2 linked regions of the Struthio camelus genome follow. The protein of the gene in region 2 purifies or fractionates together with the protein of the main gene of each other region. This does not show direct contact. Links are inferred from orthologs where the notes say so. Each region holds a gene or a part of one and is shown on either strand. Other genes may lie near its edges.

Evidence for each region. The genes of interacting proteins can lie anywhere in the genome.
Region 1: the proteins of SINHCAF (region 2) and BRMS1L purify together in Homo sapiens (affinity purification with mass spectrometry; 3 studies listed by BioGRID and IntAct, counting the BioPlex papers as one, with this or other methods). This does not show direct contact. The link is inferred for Struthio camelus from reciprocal best matches to the Homo sapiens genes SINHCAF and BRMS1L.

Annotation. Positions count from the first base shown.
Region 1 is NC_090946.1:55,614,925-55,624,398, reverse strand, and holds the start of BRMS1L (breast cancer metastasis-suppressor 1-like protein), read right to left. Parts: upstream 4,825-9,474; 5' UTR 4,441-4,824; coding exon 4,305-4,440; intron 1-4,304. UniProt on the Homo sapiens protein: Involved in the histone deacetylase (HDAC1)-dependent transcriptional repression activity. When overexpressed in lung cancer cell line that lacks p53/TP53 expression, inhibits cell growth.
Region 2 is NC_090942.1:68,092,778-68,103,098, reverse strand, and holds the start of SINHCAF (SIN3-HDAC complex-associated factor), read right to left. Parts: upstream 4,171-10,321; 5' UTR 4,019-4,170; intron 2,505-4,018; exon of another isoform or gene 2,424-2,504; intron 1,412-2,423; 5' UTR 1,296-1,411; intron 1-1,295. UniProt on the Homo sapiens protein: Subunit of the Sin3 deacetylase complex (Sin3/HDAC), this subunit is important for the repression of genes encoding components of the TGF-beta signaling pathway.

The DNA of each region.
Region 1 (9,474 bases), on a different chromosome or scaffold from region 2:
AAGTAGTCCAACTCAGAGTAACTAGGGCAGCCTAGTTTAAAGGCAAGAAAGAAAGAAATGGTACTTAAAACGTAACAGTGCCTAAAATAGCTTTTCTATAAGCTGTGGCCTACATAAAAGCGTTCCACAAAATGTCCAAATTCTCATCTGGGATGGTCAGCATAACTTGTGGTTTTATTCATCCCTAAAAGGTTATTCTATACCCTGGTCAACAAAACCCATATATTAAATATATATTATCAAAAGGAATAGGACAGAAATAGCACCAGTTCTCAAGGGCAAGATATATTGATTTTCTAACTGCATATTTTATTCTCAGGCACCTACTGAAAAAAAGATAGTCAAATGTAAATAAAGCAAAGACAGATTTAACAAAAAAAATCCTTTCCTTCAAAATCTTTTCTTCTTTTTCTTATTGATTTTAATTAAGATATATTTCTTACTGTGCTTATCATTTTACATCTGTAGAAGCAACATGCTTCCATGGGACATGGTCATATTTGTCAAGACATTGAGACAAGCATGTAGTTTTCTGTAATCATTGCTATTTAAGTTTTTCCTTAGAAGCAGTTCTCCATGGAATGCAGCAGAAATTATATGCAGCGTTTCTTGTTTTGTTTTAAAGAACTATCCACAGATTATATTGTCTTAAAACAAAGTTTTCCTCCCTCTTCCTCCCTCTAATCTCAGAAGACATCAAGACAATGGCAAGACAATAGAATTATTTGCCTTCAATTAAAAAAAAAAAAAAAGAAATCAACTGAAGTGTCATTGTGGACATGCAAACTTCAAAATTTGCCTTTAAGAATATTACTTTGCAAAGCTACAAACAGGAGCAAAGGCAAGTTTTGAAAAGGAACCAACCTCAAAGTCAGTGGCTGGAACTATCAGAAACCAGTTCTCTTTTCATTAGAGCCAGGGAGTTGGAGGAGAGAGTTAAGTTTACTTCTCTCATACCAAGCTCCCTTTCTTACACAGCAAAAGACATTCTTTGTCTCCAGCTAATCTAAAAATGGGCACTCCCAGACAACATCTAACTACAACACAAACTGGAAGTCTAAGATGGGTTGACTAGCAGGGATTATCATTGCAGTGCAGCTCTTGGACCTCCTTGAGGAGTCCTTCATCACCTTGTGTCTCACCCACTTACTGTCTAATTAATATGTTAAGCTTGTATTCCCCCTTTACACTCTACATGTTTTCCCCTGAAAGACTTAAACTTCACTCTACTATGTATGGTGGTACTTCTTGAAAAATAGTTGCCTCCAGGAGGGAAGAGCTGTTTCCATGAAGTTCTTATCCAGAATGCTGTATTGCCATTTTATCTCATGAATGCTTCTAATAATAAAAAATTGATACTTACTTTCATAAATCATATCTGAAAGGAAGAGAGCAGGCTGTTATGCAAACAAGGATATGCTTTTCCAGTTCAAGATATGATTACCTCACCTCCAGCTGCTTGTCCCTATACCCTCACTCAAGCTTGCCTTTCTTCCAGCATAACCACCAGCACACACAGACGCTGCATGGGTTTCATCAAAGCAACCCAAGACAGTTGAAGCACTTTTTTTAGTTTTATTTTTAAACTGCATCATTTTGACAGAAAGGGAGTAAGGGGCAATTAATTGGGCCCACCTGTTTACAAAAACTGTGCCCACACTCATGTTTCAGTGCAGAGCCACGGCAGAGTTTTGAAGACTGCCCCATAACTAGCCCAGCTTTCCATGCACTGGGTCATTTTGGAGTACTTTTGGTAATTACAAATCAAATTCTTTTCCTATCAAATTGACTCCAAAGCTTTGCTGCAGGTACCTGACAAACGTGCTCAAACATCTGTGGAGAACAAAAGGACTTGAAATAATGACTTTTCCTTGAGGCAGCTTCCAGTGAAATACGTTTCTAGCATCAGGCTAGAAAATCTGAAATTAAACCCTAGCTACTTTAGAGATGTAGGGGCCTCAGCACTATCCGCTTATATATTCTGATTTTGCCAGACAATTTAAAGTAGTTCACTTATGTAGACACCAATAAAACTACGTTTATAATAATTTTGCAAGCCCACACCTGGATGTGGTCCACCATTCGCTAACTGAAGAGATTTCCTGCACGCTATCACACTATACAAGAGAAGCAAGATGTTCCCTCAGAAAAGGAAACAGCCCAGAATTTAAGAACTCCCTGCTCCAGGAGACCTCTTGTCTAAACCCATGCAAGTCATTAGTCCCAAATTCACAAAAACGAGTAGGTGTCAGACTAAATCATTTAAGTTGGAGGTATTTACATATCTTTACACAATGGCAATTTAAAACTGCAGCTCCACAGCAGCAGAAGCCAATCTAACTGCTGGTTTACATAGTCCCTCGTGCCTCCCACTGTCACACACCAGTCTCTTCACTAAGTCATTTTCACATAGTACATTGGAAGAAAATTATTCCTTTTTTATGGGTTATTTTTCTGACAGCTTAGCATGCAAAGGCTCAGTAAGCCCTGGAGACCATGCAGGAAAGGGGACAAGAGAGTATGGTATACTAGGAAGGGCGCGTAGAGAAGACAGGCAGGACCATAGCAGCCTGCAATTTGATTCATGTGGACAGACATGGACCAGGAGCCTAAACTGTAAAATGGGGCTCAACTAGCAATATTTTCCAGCTCAAAGGAACTGGGGGGGGGGGGGGGGGGGGACGATGAGGAATGGGGTAGAGGAAGAAGAAAAACAAAACCAAAAATATAAAGCTCCATATCAACTGTGGGCAGATTACCTAGATTAGTAGATTAACCAAGGCCTCTACTGGAGGACCACCTCTTGTCCAAACTGAGCATCAACCTAGAGTAAGGCCTAAGGGCACGGCTATACTCCTCCCCAGTACAGCAGCCACACTTCCCCAGCAAGGACAAAGTCCTCACTCTACTTTTGCAGAGCTAACTTGGCTGTCCCTGTACCACACTTGCAGTGCTCCAGCACCTTGTTAGCTAACACACTGCTCCAGACATGGTCACGCTGTGTGAGTCCACAAGGAGCCAGAGCTGGGCTTTCCAAGAAACTGAAGTCAGTGTGAATATAAGAGCCACAGAACTTTTCATCCAAGACATCCCAGATCTTATAACATCAAATGACGAAGGAATTAACTGTACACTGGGAATTTTAACACACTCAGGTACAACAATCACTGGTCCACATAAATAGCTAAAAATGTAATTTCACAGCTAACTAGTCGAATTTATATTTTGCCACTCCTTGCACAGTGCCAAGCCTGGCACTCATAACACTGGTCAGTGTGCAGGTGCAAGCGTGGGATAGGATCATGGCAGACGAAACTACCAGAAACACACCTCAGGATCAGAGTTTCTCAGTGTTTTTCAGCTAGCACTTCTAGTGACAAAGATACTACCCGAATCAGCAGATATCTATAGAGCCCTGGTGATTTCAGGCTAGTAGTGTGCATGTTTGATGATCAGTACTTTTCCCAACAAAAGGCCATCTTATAATTCAGCCCTTTGAATTATAAGGGACCTTGGAATAGACAACTTTCTTCTAACACAGAGAAAATTGGAGAAAAGGTAGTCCTTTTAAAGCCTGGATTTCACATACTAACATCAATCTCTGCCTACAATCCAGATGAAGTTACGGGAAAGAGAAGACGGGATTTTCAATAGGGTAGAGGCATAAAAGCTTTGCAGAAGTGGCAGGCAGTGCTGGCATGACTTCACAGACAGGCCTCAAGAGGTGAGCAGAAGAAAATTTAAACCTCATTGAGGCTGATGATTTTGCGTAAAGGAAAATACACATACGCATTTTATACACAAACAGAAAAAGAGATCGTGCGTGTTTGTGTGTGTGCGCGTGTCTACATAAACACACACACACACACAGAGCTCTTGAAGCGAGGACCTCAGGCGAGCACCTCCCCCCGCAGCGGCCCTGCACTCAAGCCCAGTCGGGCACAGCCGACAGCACTCCCCCAGCGCGGCGCGGCCCGGCCCGGCCCGCCAAGCGCGGGCGGCGGCCGGCTGCGGACCAGGAGACTCGGCTCGGCTCAGCTCAGCTCAGCTCAGCCCGCCGCGGGGCTGCGGCTCCCGCCTCCCCGCCACGGCCACCGCCGGGCCGGCGGCCCGGGGAGCGGCGGCGGGGCCGGGGCGGCGGGAGGGGCGGGGTCACGGCACGCGGGGGGCGGCGGGGGGGGCCGCCCCCGGAGCGGGGGGCAGGGCGAGGCCGGTGTCCCCTCAGGGGAGGGCGCCGGCGGCTGCGGGAACCGCCGCGGCACCCGCCCGGGCCGAGGGGCTTCCCCCGCGGGCGGCCGCGGTACCTGAGCTGTCCCCCTCCTCGGATACGGACGAGCTCTCGGTCTCCTCCTCCTCCGAGCTGCTGCCCTCGTTCTCCCCGTAGTCCACCTCCATCTCATCGTGGTTGGTCTCCTTCTTCTCCCGGGAATGGACCGGCATCGTCCCCGCCGCCGAGCCCTGGGACAACCCTTCCCGCCGCCGCAGCTGCTGCCGGCCCCTCCCCCCCTCACCCGGCGGGCACAACCTACGCCGCCCGGCGCCCTCCTCTCGCTCCCATTGGGCGAGCTCCACGCAGGAGGGGCGGGCTCTGCAGCAGGGCCGGCAGGCTAGGTTAGCGCGTGCGCGAGGCACCTTGGGAATTGTAGTCCGCCAGGAGCTGCACGGAGGGAGGGAGGAGGAAGCCGCCGCTCATGGCTGTGGGGGCCCGGAGTAGGGGGGGGAGGGGGGCGGCGGGGCCGCGGCTTCTTCCTGCCCATTCCCGGGCCACCCTCGGGACTGCTCCTCACTGAAAGGCTCCATGGTGGTCGCACACCTGGCCGCGTCTCCGGCTGGTAGCGGGGGCGGGCCTGGGCCCTGCGGGCCGCGCCCGGCACCGCCGCCGCCCGGAGCAGCGACGCGGGCGGCGGGAGCCCGGCTCCGCCGCGGCCTGCCCCCCGCCTCCCCCCCGCCCGTCCCCCCGGAGCCACGCCGTAACCCGGCGCTTCGCCTCCCGGCAAGGCGTCCCGGTCCCCGCTCGCCCCCTCTTCCTAACTTTCACATCGCGGGACGCATTTCAAGTTAAGCTAGACTGAATTTAATCCCCTAAAACAGGCAGCGACCAGTAGGAGTGGACGTGAGAAAGGGCTCTGAGGGTGTGCTGCAATTTGTGCAGGGTTCGGGTAGGTTTCATGGCTTTGAGTATCAGTGTTTTTCCACTCGTTTGCTAATTGCCACTAATTGTGCTATGTATGACGTACTGAACAGGAACGGCACTTGTCGGAGCAAGCCGTCGGAGCTGTCACCCTGCTACCAGCAATGGGTTAGCTCCACTTCAGGACACACACAGGCAGGGAAGTCCTGCAGGGATTGTCAGGAGCCATGAAATATGTGCTCATGGCCTACAGGTAAGCACGGGCAATATCTCTGAGAAAAGTGTTAAGGCTAAGGTGAGGTAGTTTGTATAGCACAGGCTGAGTTTATAAGTTTGGGCCAGGTTTAAGTAGTACTGTGTGTCCCAGTGATGTGCTGTGACATTGCTCCAATGAGAAGTAAAGGTTATATTGCCAGGCAGTAGCATTTCTTCATGTCAAGAGATCCAGATTTAGTCACTCTATGCAATTTGGAAGGATGTATTATACAGGTGATATTTTGGGGCAATAAATAACTGCCAAGCTTCCCTATGGACTTCAGCCTCTGTGGAAATACTTACCTTACCATAACCACTGCTGTTTTTTAGTCATTGCTTTTTTTTCCTGAAGCATCCCACATCTCCGCATATATAGAACAACTCATTTCCCCTCTCCACCCAAGAGAGTACACTGATGTGCCACCTCTTCTCCAAGAACACAAATGCCAAGACTAACATAACGATAGTTGTTGAAGGGGAGAAATATTGGACAAAATTAACCACCTCCTATCTTTCACTATTCAAACTCAATCCCTTCCTTTTCAACGTTCTGGTCAATGTTCAAACCAGCATTGTTCTGGTTTTCTCGGGCCTCTTAGCTAACTGGGGGCCACGGAGAATCTGGTATGCTTTACCCACACTTTGATTTAATCCATAATGAGTTTTATAATTATAGGTCTATGGTATGAAACACCTGTAACTTTTAAAAGCAGCCAGTGTACACAGAAATTAATATTTTCTTAGATCTGCAATACTAGGCACCTTTCGCTGCTGAAGATGCGCACCTCCATCTCCTGCCTCTGCTTCCCAGAAGCGCTTTTCCCGCTCCAAGGGCTCCATCAGGCCTTTCCCTCACACCTCCCCCTGGGGCCCAGTCCTGCTCTGGTAATGGCACAGCCACGGTGGGCTGGGCCTCAGCAGGACAGTCACGCGTGCTGTGCGCCACCCGGCAGCCACGGGGCACAGGGCCAGGCGTGCTGCTGCCGGGGGCCCAGCTCGACCTGGGAGCACAGCTGCTGCCACCTGCCCTGCACAGGCCGAGATGTTAGCTACGGGCTAGCAGAAAGGAGCCAGAGCGATGTTTAAGGAGTTGCCACTTAACGACTTTTGATCTGTAAGGAAACTGGATTTTTTTTTCCCCCCTAGTGGTTGGGTTATTTAGAAAAGCAATAACAACCAACTGCGTCCACAGGTTTTCCTTGTCTAGAAACAACTTCTGGGACCCCGACATCTGACCAAGTGCTGGTTCATACCGTTTTAAAAATTAGAGGCAGTTACCAAGGAAATGCATAGTAAGCTGCTGTTCCTTTGAACTACCTTTGAAAGTGTTAACGGTGGTGTCAGAAATTAAAACGGCTAAAAGGAATGAAGAGAAGGCCTGAAACATGAGCTGGAGATCTCCCCAGAGGAAACTGGTGAATTTCACAAGCTGGATCTGAAGTTTCACTTAAGGGATCCATAGAGAACTGAGGAACTGACAAAAAGAAACCAGAATAAAATATGTCTGAAATTGAAAATTCCCGTTTGGGGCTGGCAAGATAAAAAGGCTAGAAATCAAATGTTCTGGACAGATCAGAAGAACTGACTGGAAACAGTGGCAGGGGAAGGAATGGCAGGAAATCAGGAAACCTTTGGCCTATTTGTAACTTCCTAACTGAAGAGGGAAGCTAATAATAAGCCCCAGAAGGAAATTAAAGTTCCCGTGCCACGGTGGAAATAAGCAACCGTGATGGGGAATTGAGCCAGAAAAAGCATTTTAGTAAGATAAGATTTTTATGTGTTTCTTTTATTCTGTTTGTGTCCATGGGGCAGGAATGAAATTACCCAGCTATAGCAATACAAACGTTTACTGTCTTGGGGGACAGGGTGGGTGGAAGGAAAAACTGTACTGGTTGAAGTTGACCTCACTGTCCAAATGGATTACTGAAAAAAAAAAAAAAAGAATGGGCTATCTCCAGCAGCTATAGACAGTGTTGATGGCACAGTACCACTTGTTCCCAGAATTAAAGTGACTTACCCAGATCACCTACAAGCCCGTAACATACCAGGTAGCAGCAGCTATCTTGCTAGAGCCCAGCTGTGTGCTAGAAGGAAAGGGGAAAGGAAGAAACTAGCTGGCTTGTTAGAAGACTTGCAAAGACTTGTATTCTTGCTGTGAGAAGATACTAGCAAGGGCGTAATAGTCAGCTGCCAGAGGACCAATCTATAGGTTTAAAACCATGTCAAGATCAGTGAAAGGAAGCACAGGAGGTCTGCAAAGCAATATAATTTGTATATCATGAGTTTTCCCCTTCACCAGAGTAAAATAGCCATTAAGAAGTAAATCTTCATGATCCTTGTCAGCTCATGTTTTAAAGCGTGTGATGAAATGGAATCCGCATCTAGTATGCGATATTTGTGAACAATTAGAAAGAGAGATAGTCCATCAGCAGGGACAGTTGGCAATAATGCAAAATTAGAGAGTAGTAATTATGTTAAAAGCTGATACTGGAAAAAATTTGGACACAAAAAGCGTGGTTATAAATAACATGCTGGCCAGCACAGACCATGACAGATGGTGAAATCTCCTTTCCCAGTTTGGGAGAGAGGAGGATGATTGAAGATGGGAGCTCACACATGAAGAGGAGGAGCTTGGAAATGCAAGCATCAGCTTCACAACACTTAATCTGGACATTTAAACCAATAACAGGAATCTGGCTATTGAACAACATCTGTGGAAAACACAGAAAAGTGGAACCTGGCACAACATGGTAGCTATTAGACCAGACATGTTCAAAAACAACTAGGAAGCAGAGACTCTGTAATTTTACACCTAATTTGCTGAATGGAGACAGTGACTGCAAATACATATCACTCCAGAATCTGGAAAGCTGTTATTATCTTTCGATTATCAAACTGATTACCAGCTTTCATTGTAGCAAGTAACTGCATAATGAATAATCCTACACATTTCTAAGTGCTTTACAAATCCTTATTAGAGAAGTGGCCTGGTGCAAAAAAAAGAAAAAGATACATGTATCAGTTTTGAAATGTTTCTGCCTCTCAGGGACTGAAGCCATGATAACTATACTTCAAAAGAAAGGTGGGAGTGGTTGAAACCTGTTTGAGAGCAGGTTTCAAGAAAGTCCTAGGTTTTCTGCATGTGAAAATGGAAAAGATCCCTGTTAATTTGCTGGATGTTTCTGACAAGGAAAAGATTCTACAGAGAGAAGCCAAAGATGCAGAATGTGAGTCAGTAAGACACAGGAATAGATGAAACCCTCAAGGAGAACCAGGGACAAAAGAGTTTCTGTTGGATTTGGTCCAATATAGTGCAGTACATTTTGATGGGTTTGAAGTATCTTCTGGTTAGGAGTTGTTCTCCCAGTTCAGAGACATAGTTTATCTTGCACTGGGCATCACAAGATTGATTGTTGGGGGGCAAGGCAAAGGGGGCAGGACGCAGTATATATCATTAATGATAAAAAAAAGAAGCCTCACAGAGAAATTTATCTGGAAGTTACACAAGAGGTTTTAGTCAGTCGCAGGGCCTCATCTATAGTTAGGTTTAAGAAAGAAGTGGAAGCACAGGGTTGTTTGTGAACTCTTGAAAACTGAATTCGGTCACTTTGAATAATTTTTATGCATTATCACAAAGAAATGATACACTGGGATGCTCTAGCAAATTAAATCTGATTCTTCACACTCAATTTCAAAGTGCAATATTAGGAGATGGGTCACAAGAAGAAGGAAAAGACTATTCTCCCAGCAGGACAAGGTCAGCAGCAAGTTAAAGTCTTCGCTGTATGCCAGCAACTAGCTGTGTTGGAAGGCTATTGGATCATGTTCTTCCCTCACCTCGTGTATTTTCTAGGCAAGATATTCTGCCATGTGTTGCAAATGGTCTCAAGTAAGCTTAGAACTACAATCAAAATAAATCCATAATTCTAAAGCCCCCTTTTATTCCTGCCAGTAAGGTAGCGGGAGAGAGGGAGGCAAAATATTCCCACTGATAGAAGGGAAATAATCTGTACATAACTGGTCCTCTCCCAAGGGCTGGCAGACATGCAGAGTTTCTGCAGGGCTCTTCTGGAAGTTCATTTGCGAGT
Region 2 (10,321 bases):
CTGAAGGGACAGGCCAAAGGATGAAAACAGTAATCAGTAACATTTGCATAGGAAAAAAAAAAAAATCCCAAACCTGTCACACCTGCAGATATTCCATTTTGAAAGAGGCTTTTTTTTTTTTTTTTGGAAAATCCTATTACATAACACTATGTGCGGTCTAACCAGGAGCATGGCAGGGAAATGCTGGGATGCTCTTAAGTAAGTGCTGGAGTTGAGTCTGTGTTGCTCATCTGAGAGCAGTGACTGCAGCTGCTATGATGTTGTTTGTATCCACCTGCTGCTGAAAAAGCACCATGGAGAGCTGAGGTCATTAGACACTGAAAAGGTCTTTTTAGAAGAAGATAAAATATCTGATAGGGTCTGCAAGGGAGGAAAAGGATACATGTAACAAAATGAGTGGAGTGACTTCATTATAAAGGATATATTTACAGTATCCGTAAGTATTACTGGAGACTTCATTTGGACTTTGGACTGACTGAGCACCTTCTAAAGAAATGCAAGAGCCCAAGTGGTGAAATGGAGTCCTGCCCCTCCATTCTGCTAATCTATCCAGTTTCCAGCCCTCTGTTCCCACCCCAGGCTTGCTGGCTTCTTCTTTTGTTAAAAAGCAAGTGCTAGAGAAGGTACAACCAACTTCTGCTTCAGACTGCATGCGGTTCATCGCATTCCGAAAGAAGTACGAATCATCAAGTGCTAATTAGAATCAATGCAAAGCAGTCTGGTGACCCAGAAAGAGCTGTTCAGCACAACTAAGATAACAAACCATCACAGTTTTAACATTGTTTATTTTTAACATGTGAGAATTTATCAGTTCATTTTCTTCTACTAAGCAGTAAAGGATGTTTTCTTTTTAAAGGAAAGACTGCAAGCTGTAGGCAACTAGCTCCCCTTTGAGAATCTCCTACTGGTTGGGAGAGAAGCACGGAGGAATTTTTCCCAGAGGCTCTGGGAAAGTTGATCCCACCTACTTTCAGGGGCAGCTGGATACTGCATGCCTGTAGATGTGTTTGAAAATCCCATGACTTGTTACTTACTGATTCACTACCACTGACTGCAGACTTCAAGAAACCTGGAATTTATTTTGGGGGGGGGGGGGGGGGGGGAAGAGAGCTTGGTGCCCACGGATGTCAGCAGAAAGACCCCTAGTTCACTGCTTGCCCCATGCTGTAGAGCACATGCAACTTTCTCTGGTCATTGAAGAAAACAGAAAACTACACAGTGAAGCTGGCTACGTGCACACTGAGGAGAAGGGGGTTTCCGCAGCGTATCGTGGCACGCGGCAGAAACAGTCTCACCTTTAGAAGTAAGTCCACGGGAGCAGCGGGGTTTGCTGAGGAACCGTCAAACCTCCTGCTTTGCCTTGCGTGAGGGTAAACAGGCGTCTCCACAGCTGTCAACCTATCCCCTTCACCTGAATTAAAATCGGAAAGGAAAAATAGCACTGCATCAGGATGTGTTAAAAGTATGCTCCTTAAGCCTCCAATGCAAAGCTCTTGAAGCTCTGGACTCAGTTCAGGACACTTGGCCTTCTCCTCTCTGCACCCACACGGGGATGGTGGCAGGGGCCTTGCCTTCAGCCCAGCGAAAAGACACGTGCTGTACACACCCAGGTTGAGGGACTGCTTCCTAGGCCAGCTGCCTGCAACCCTACGGTGCTGGAGCACAGCTCTAAAGTTTTTTGCAATTGTAACGATTATGAAATAATTTGGGCACACAGGACTGCCAGTCCCTAGAGAGCGAGCGGATGGTCGGGGACAAGGCCATCGGCAGGATGATCTGGGGCTATTCCTGCCAGGAGAGACTCGCCTGCGGGGCTGGGGGGAGCCACGGGGCAGGCAGCATTCAGCCCTGTGCCAACACGCAGTGGGGTAAACAACAGGTTTGGCAGGCCCCTTTAAACCCCTTCAGCTACGCATCCGGCGATGGGTGTAAAAAGGAGACGGCAATTTTTAATCCAATGAGAGATTTGAATGGAAGCCGTTTCCCCGGCTCAAAACAGCAAGTAAATAAATAATAGTAAAAAAAAAAAAGAAGAAGAAAAAAAAAAGTAACAATAACCGGGGATGCCCGGCAAAGTACAGTTTGAGCAGCCCGCGGGGGAGGCGCGCTGCCGGCACGCGGAGGCTGCGGCCGGTTGTCCGCCGAGCAGCGCGTGGCGCGGGGGCAGCGCGGTGGCTCCGCGCCCGCCCTCCGCGAACAAAGACCCCCGCCGGCTGGCGGCGGGGCCCACGACCTACTTTTCCGCCGAGCAGGTGGGCCGGGAGCCGTAGGAGCAGCCACCACCACCGCCGGCCCGCCCGCAACGCGCGCCCCCTCCCCTGCCCCCGAAGGGCGAAACGTGCAACTTCCAGAAAGCCCACATAAATATATATTAAAAAAAATTTAAAAAAAGTGCGGGGGGGGGGGGGGGACACGGGACTGACCAGGCGGCCCCGGCCCGGCCGCGCTGGCCCCAGCCGGGGCGAGCGGGGCTGCAGCCGCCCCCGGTGCGCGGCCGCGGCTCCGGGCGCCCCCCCCCGCCCCCGCCCGTCGCTGTTTCCTCATGGCTTTGCCCTGACGTAATTCAAACATGGCAACAGCCCCACTTCAAAGGGCAGAAGGGGTAGATACCCCCCCTCACCACCAACACCCCCCCCCGCCGCGGCCGGGGGCGCCAACGCAGCCCCCCCACCCCACCCCGGTACCGCGGACGGGGCTTCCCTCCCTGCGCGCCCCACACGCGCAAACACGCCCCCTCCTCCTCCGCCTCCTCCATGCACGCGGCGGCGTGGTACCTCGCGGCAGCGTGCGCGCATCCAAAGTTTCGCCGCCCCTCCAAAGTGCTCCCAAACCTGCAGCCAGCCCCTCAAACACCCCCCCCCGGCGCGGGGCACGCTCACTCCGGCCGGTCGGCGCCCCCCCCTCCCTCCCCTCCGCGTTTCCGCGCGCGGTCGGGCGCACACGCGGAGTCGCGGCGCCGGCAGCACATGGGAGCCCTTTGTTTTCCCCTCCGCCGGCTCCCGCCGACGTGCGGCACCCGGGAGCGGCCGGCCGCTCCGCGGGGCTCGGGGCAGGCGGCGAGGGAGCGCGCAGGCCCCCGCGGAAGCCAGAAGTTGCCCGTTGTCTGCGTGCGGCGCGGCGGCGTCCGGCAGCCGCTTTTGCCCCCGCGCTGCGCTGCGCTGGCGGCGGCGCCATCACCGCCCGCGCAGCGGCCCCGCGTGTCACCCCACCGCACGCGCACACTTCCCCCCCCCCCTATTTCGGGGCGGGCAGAGCCCCTGACCGCTCTAAAGAAGAAAAAAAAAAACAACAACAGGGGAAAAAAATTTAAAAATTCTAAAAAGTCAGCAAGCCGCCGCCCCCCACCCCCCCCCGCGGAAGGGGGGCGCCCGTGGTGCCCCCTCCGCTCCGCCGCCGAGCGGGCACCAACTTGTGCGCGGCAGCGCTACAGGTGTGCGGGCGCTGCGCAGGGCCGCGCCGCACCTGCGCCGCCCCCGCGCCCCGCGCAACGGCCGGGCCGCCCTCCCGGCGCGGCGGCGGCGGGGCTCCGCGCCCGCGGCCCCGGAGCGCTCCGCGGCTCCGTCGCCTGCAGCTAGATCGCGCTTCCTCTCGGGGGTTTAACGTTTTCATCTCACTTTGGGGTGGAGTGGGGGGGGGGGTCAAAGTCGGTGAGGGGGGTGTGCAACAATGCGGGAGGCGTTTCGCGACCGGAGCGGCTGCTTTAAACTCCACTACCTTTTTTTTTTTTTAAAAAAAAAAAAGGGGGAGGGGGGAGAGGAACGCCGCACACAGGAGCCATGCGTGTCAAACTGTTTCGGGCGGTAAAGTGTTCTCACTGTACCAAAACTAAGGACAGCCTCCAGGATTAACTTGCAACGACCACAAACCACCGACTGTTGCAAAAAAAAAAAAAAGAAAATAAAAAGAAAAAATAAAGGGGAGGGGAAAAAAAAGGAAAAGAGAACAAGAAATTCAAACCCGAGCCTCTCGCTTCTCATTGCCCAGACTTTCCTTCCCCTCTGCCCCCCGCGGCACTCACCTCAGCTCCCCGTGCACCCGCCAGCAGACCGCGAGCGTGCCCCGCCGCGCCGCGCTCTGCGCAGCCGCCCCGTCGCGCCCCGCTGCCTGCATGCAACCTCCGGGCCCGCGCGCGCGCGCGCGCCCCCCCCTCCTCTCATCTGCCCTCCCCTCCCCGCGGCGCGCGCCGCTCTGCGCACGCGCCGTTCCCACGGCCCCCATTCTACTCAATCGAGCCCTTTCGCTCGCGCGCCCCATTGTCCTTTTAAGGGAGAAAGGCCGCGCGGGAAGCCGGGGAGGAGGGGAGGTGTTGCCCATTGTGACGGCGGAGATGACTTCACTCAAACAGCCCGGCCGGGACGGGGCGGGGCCGCGCGCGCGCGCCGGGGCCGGGGCCGCTGCCGCCAGTCCCGCGCTGCCCCCGCGCGCGCGTGGCGCTGCCTCCGCGGACCGGGCACCTGCCCCGAGCCGAGCCGAGCCGCCGGCCGCTGCGGGGGGCGGGCAGCGCGGGCTCACCTTCCCCCTACGTCCCGTTCGCGTCGGGCATTTTTCAGCCTGCGAAATTCCCCAAACAAACAAAACCCCACAGAAGTAAAAAAAAAAAAAAAAAGGGGGGGGGCTCTCAAATCGCTAAGCATTGCGCAACGTGTCCCCTTCCTTTTTAAAACGCTGACACTGTTTTGTCAGTAGACAAACAAACAAACAAACAAAAATCTCGCAGCTACTCTACTCCCAGCCTTAGGTTTGCGAAACGCACCTAGGTTTTCCTCTCCCAGGCGACGTTGACACCAATGATAAAACTCAATGAACTCATTGGCTAAGGGTCACGTCTCCTGGGCGTAAGAGGCGGGAAGATCCTCCCCCCCCTCCCCCCCCCCCGTAGGAGTCAGTTTAGCGCGCTGTGAAAATGCTCGGCGTGCCTCACGTAATTTTTCGTAGTGTGTCAGAATGAGTGGTTTAAAAATTCACCTCATTGCAACCTTTTCTTCGCGGTCTTTGTGCAATTCGGGAAGCGCGGCCCCACTGTACATCTGGCGAGCTGTGTTGAAATAGAGTTCCTTTAAAAACCATCTACGTCAGGAGGATTAGTGTGATATACAAGGTAACGCTTAGGCAGTTACTCCTTAGCGCCACTACAGCGCACAACTATGATAAAACCACAAGCTACTCCCTTTCGGGCTTACACTCACGCCAAGCCCTAGTACCGAGCACCTTCTTTCTAGCGAGGTAAACGCTAAAGTTTCCCACAGAATCTGCAGCAGCTCAGGCACAGGGGGCATTTTTTTTTTGTTTAATACACCATAAGATGAAAATAACGGGGATGAGGAACTTTACAACAAATGATTTTAACTTGATGGCGACCTTTCTGGTCTAGCTGAGGCACAGGTTTAGCAAATCACCTGGACCACTTGGCGAAAGTCTCTTGCCGCTTGCGGCAGCCCTGGCTGACCCCCCCCCCCACCCCGAGGTTTTCAATGAGAGCAGGCCTGGCTACTTTTCTTTATGTTCGGCTGAGCACCTAACATTAGCCCTACTTGCCTGCAAATCCATGGTAATGCCATGCCATTTCCTTCCTCAGTGCTACCAAAACAAGTCAATTTGGGCACAAAGCATAGGAGGCCTTCTCCAGAGGAGACGGGACGGGCTTAGCTGGGAGAGAGAACTTTTTTGAATGATCACAGTGTGTCTTCATTGTTGCCTGTGCTTAGTTCCCGACACGGCGGCATCAAACCACTTTAAACTTTTGAGACGTGAGTGTAACTGCTGCTGAATGGTTTCCCCAAATGTATATATTTTTAATTTTACTGATTTTAACTAATACTACAGAACTCTACCAGCTCTTTCAGTAGCTCTTGTAATTATCTGCAAGCGTGATCCACCAAGAATATACTATGTTATTTAGTATTTAGTTATTTAGTATTTGCATATAACATCTGCTCGTTTTTATCTGCCACTTTCTTTTTGGGTGTGGAAGCCATTCTCCCAGGGTTTTTTTTTTCAGTGCTATCTCTTTGTTTCTTCTCTACAATTGTGAAGCCCCTCCAGCGACTCACCTTTTAGCCTAGCTCCTGTATGTGTCTGCAGGGGCCATCTCGTACAGTCTTTAGCGCTCCAGATGAGGATGAAATGGCGTTTTCAAGGAGACTCCTTGTGCGTATCGAGCAATGGGTGCACCAGGTTGAACAGAAATAATCTCTTGGTGCCTGCCATTTACCACCCTCCCTAACCACACTGAACAGGAGCGGACTGACCAAAAGTAGGCTTTGACCGCCTACAAACTGGGGCAAGGGCGACTGCTCAAATACTTGTTTCTCAGCTTCATATCTTTACACTCCAAATCTCCTACAAATCCCAAAGTGCAGTGGAGGATGTAGGCTTCTAACTGACAATAAAGAAAAAGGTGCTTAAGAACAGCTGATGGTGTAACTAGGGGAGAATGTGAGTTTCTGAACACTGTACTGCTCTGGCCTGTGACGGCTTGGCCATTCCTGCCCTCTCAAAGCAAAACAGCTCCTCTCCACAAAAGTCCCAATAGGAACATATAAATGAAAACATGGTGCAAAAATCTTCACTTCTGAAACACCTCAGGCTTCCTTTTGCCAATGACATTGCAGAGCTATCCTATTACTTCACAGTGATTTGAATTTTCAGCTTTGGCAGGCCAAAGCTTGCCAGCTTGCAAACAAGTAACAGGTATTTAATTAGTAAATGAGCTTCCACTGAGGTTCCTCGAGCCCCTTGACCTCGAGCAAGCCACTTGTGCTCCCCACAGCACCGGAGGGACACCCTGTCTGTCCTCGCTACATGGAAAGAGGGTGATTAACAATTGCCCCAAATATGGAAGAACCTGAAGGAGTTTAATATGAAAAGTGCAGATACGTGAAAAAGTACCTGCTCCTGTTTTTCAGGGGTGCCAAGGTTACAGAAAAAGCCTTATTTGACAAGGCTCTTAGCTGTATGCTCTTTTAAAAACTTAAGTATATTTGCACTCTGAGTTTGGTATAAACGAGGAATATGGGACTCTGTAGAGATCCCAGGAGACCTGGAATGTAAGCCTTAGGCCAGAGGATTTGCTCTCGTCTAGGACAGTACTTGAAAACCTTACTTTTAAGTTTGCATGTGGTCCCTGGAAAGCTAGAGGGATTATTGCTGTTTTCCCATTAAACATGTACCTTTTCTGGATGGGATCTTAATTGCTTTAGCCGAAAAGCTAAAATATGCCAATGTTATAATAATAAAGCTAACCAAAAGGTTTGTCTTTAATACAAAATATACATATGTCATGAATACTGGGACAGAGGAGCTAACACAGATAAAAAGTAAGACATTAGTCAGCTAAGGCACCTGATCCTGTTGTGTTATTTTTCAATATCAATGAATAAATAAACATGAATAGGCTACTTGTTGTTAGGTGAAAAGCAGCTGTCAGAACCAAACCTAGGCAGCTGTTGCTGCTTTAAGATGTCACAGTAAATGGCTTTTTACAACTCGAGTCATTTTAAAATGTGCTTTACTGGCTAAAATCCTGTTTAAAATCCTGTTGAAAAATTACTAGGGGTTCATTCAGAAACTAAAGTGTTGATTCACCTACAATTCTGAATAAGATTTGCCAAGGGGTAAAATTTAAGAGGGAGATATCAACAGATCAGTTCTGCAGCGCTCGCTTGCACTGGTGGGCTGTATGAGTAACAGCATATTAATTTTTCAAAGGCACAAAAGTTCGTAGGACTGGATAGTTTGAAGCAAACAGGACAATGAAGAAATGCGATCTTTTTCTCCATTATGCTTTAGGCTAAGTGTCAGATGGCTGCAAATATACAGTGATAGCAAAGTCTGGTGATAATGAAAATAGATACTCATGCTGCCAGAGTGAAGTACCTGCTGCCAGAAGTGGAGCACCTAAGTTCTGCGGATCACCAAGGCAGGACTCCTGAATTGGTTCACTCCTATGAACAAGGCAGCACATTTATAGCCCATCCCAAATAAGAAAGCCCTGATGGTTTAACAGAGATTGATCACCTTGAAGAATTTTTTTAAATTGATATTTAGAATTCTTTAACAGGAAAATAAGTCTCTTAAATTCTTAAGGATTGCTCAAATTCTATAGCAAAAAAGATCAATTTCTATTACTGTGCAAAAATCTCTAGTGCAGCTTCTCACAAACACTACTCATTTCTTTGCAACGCTATTGCTTTCATCCCTATTCAAACCAATAAGGCTATTCTATGAGGATTTATATTAAGGCGATTTGAAGACACCATTAAGAAGATCAGCCCTCTCTGCCTGCCAGGCTCTTTCCTGTGAGGGAAGTTATCCCCTCTTATCCTGTCATTTGAGGAAGTTCTGAAAATGGAGATCAAATAATTGCAAACCCAAAGGATGTTTCTCCTCTGAACCGAGAGGCCAGTCTTTCCCAGATGCACATGGATAAGTGCAAGATTTTATAGTGGCAGAGTCAGACTAATCTCTAGGGAAGATTAGTCTATTGGCAGCAGGGTTTTTGGTTTCTGTGACCATGGGACCCTGTCTGAAGATCAACAGCTGTTGGGGAGAGATGGGATCCACCTCACCAAGCGGGGCACGCGTGTCTTTGCCAACAGGTTGGCCAGCCTAGTAAGGAGGGCTTTAAACTAGGAAAGATGGGGGAAGGGGAATGGTATAGTGACACGGTAGTCAGTAAAACACCGCTCGAGTCAGGATGCCTCCAGCGGGTGCATGCAGCCAGGGGACACAGCATGCAACGTGGCTATGGAGGCTCCTCTTGCACCTCTCCTGGGAAGCTTACATGCTCGATTGGCTCTCTGAAATGCCTGTACACTAACGCATGCAGCATGGGGAATAAACAGGAAGAGTTAGAGATCTGTGTGCGGTCGCAGGGCCATGATCTCGTTGCAGTTACAGAGACATGGTGGGATAGCTCACATGACTGGGATGCTGTCATGGATGGCTATGTGCTTTTTCAGGAAAGACAGGCCAGGAAGGCGAGGTGGTGGAGTTGCCCTTTATGTGAGGGAGCAGCTGGACTGCATGGAGCTCTGCCTCGGGGTGGATGAAGAGCAAGTTGAGAGCCTATGGGTAAGGATTAAAGGGCAGGGTAACATGGGTGACACTGTTGTGGGGGTTTACTACAGGCCACCTGACCAGGAGGAAGTGGTCGATGAGGCCTTCTACCGACAGCTGGAAGTAGCCTCACGATCACAGGCCCTGGTTCTCGTGGGAGAGTTCAGCCACCCTGGTATCTGCCTGGGAAGAGAGCACAGCTAGGCACAAACAGTCCGGGAGGATCCTGCAGAGGATTGATGATAATTTCTTGACCCAGGTGGTGGAGACGCCAGCGAGGAGAGGTGTGCTGCTGGACCTTGTACTAACAAACAAAGAAGGTCTAGTTGGAGATGTGAAGGTTGGGGGCAGCCTTGGCTGCAGTGACCATGAGATGGTGGAGTTCAGGATCCTATGAGGAAGAACCAGGGCAATAAGTAGGATCGCAACCCTGGACTTCAGGAGAGCTAACTTTGGCCTCTTCAGGCACCTACTTAGGGGAATCTCATGGGGTAGGGCCCTAGAATGAGGGGGGTGTCCAGGAGAAGTGGTTAATATTCAAGAATCACCTCCTCCAGGCTCAAGAGCAGTGCATCCCCCTGAGTAAGAAGTCCAGCAAAGCGGGCAGGAGACCTGCACGGATGAGCAAGGAACTACTGGCAAAACTCAAACATAAGCAGGAAGTGTACAGAAGGTGGAAAATGGGACAGGCCACTTGGGAGGAATACAGGGATGTTGTCAGAGTATGCAGGGATGCGATGAGGAAGGCCAAGGCCCATTTTGGAATTAAATTTAGCAAGAGATGTCAAGGACAACAAGAAGGGCTTCTTCAAATGCATCAATAGCAAAAGGAAGACTAGGGAAAACATGGGCCTGCTGCTGAATGGAGTGAGTGCCCTGGCAACAGAAGACACAGAGAAGGCAGAGTTGCTGAATGCCTTCTCTGCTTCAGTCTTCACTGCTAAGGCCAGCCCTCAGGAATCCCTGACCCAGGAGATCAGGGAGAAAGTCTGGAGAGAGAAAGACTCTCCCTTGGTCAAAGAGGACTGAGTTAGAGATCATTTGTCCAAACTTGACATCCACAAATCCATGGGCCCTGATGGGATGCACCCACGAGTGCTGAGGGAGCTGGCGGATGTTATCGCTAGGCCACTCTCCATCCTCTTGGAAAGGTCCTGGAGATCAGGAGAGACACCTGAGGACTGGGAGAAAGCCAATGTCACCCCAGGCTTCCAAAAGGGCAAGAAAGAGGAGCCAGGAAACTCCAGGCCTGTCAGCCTCACCT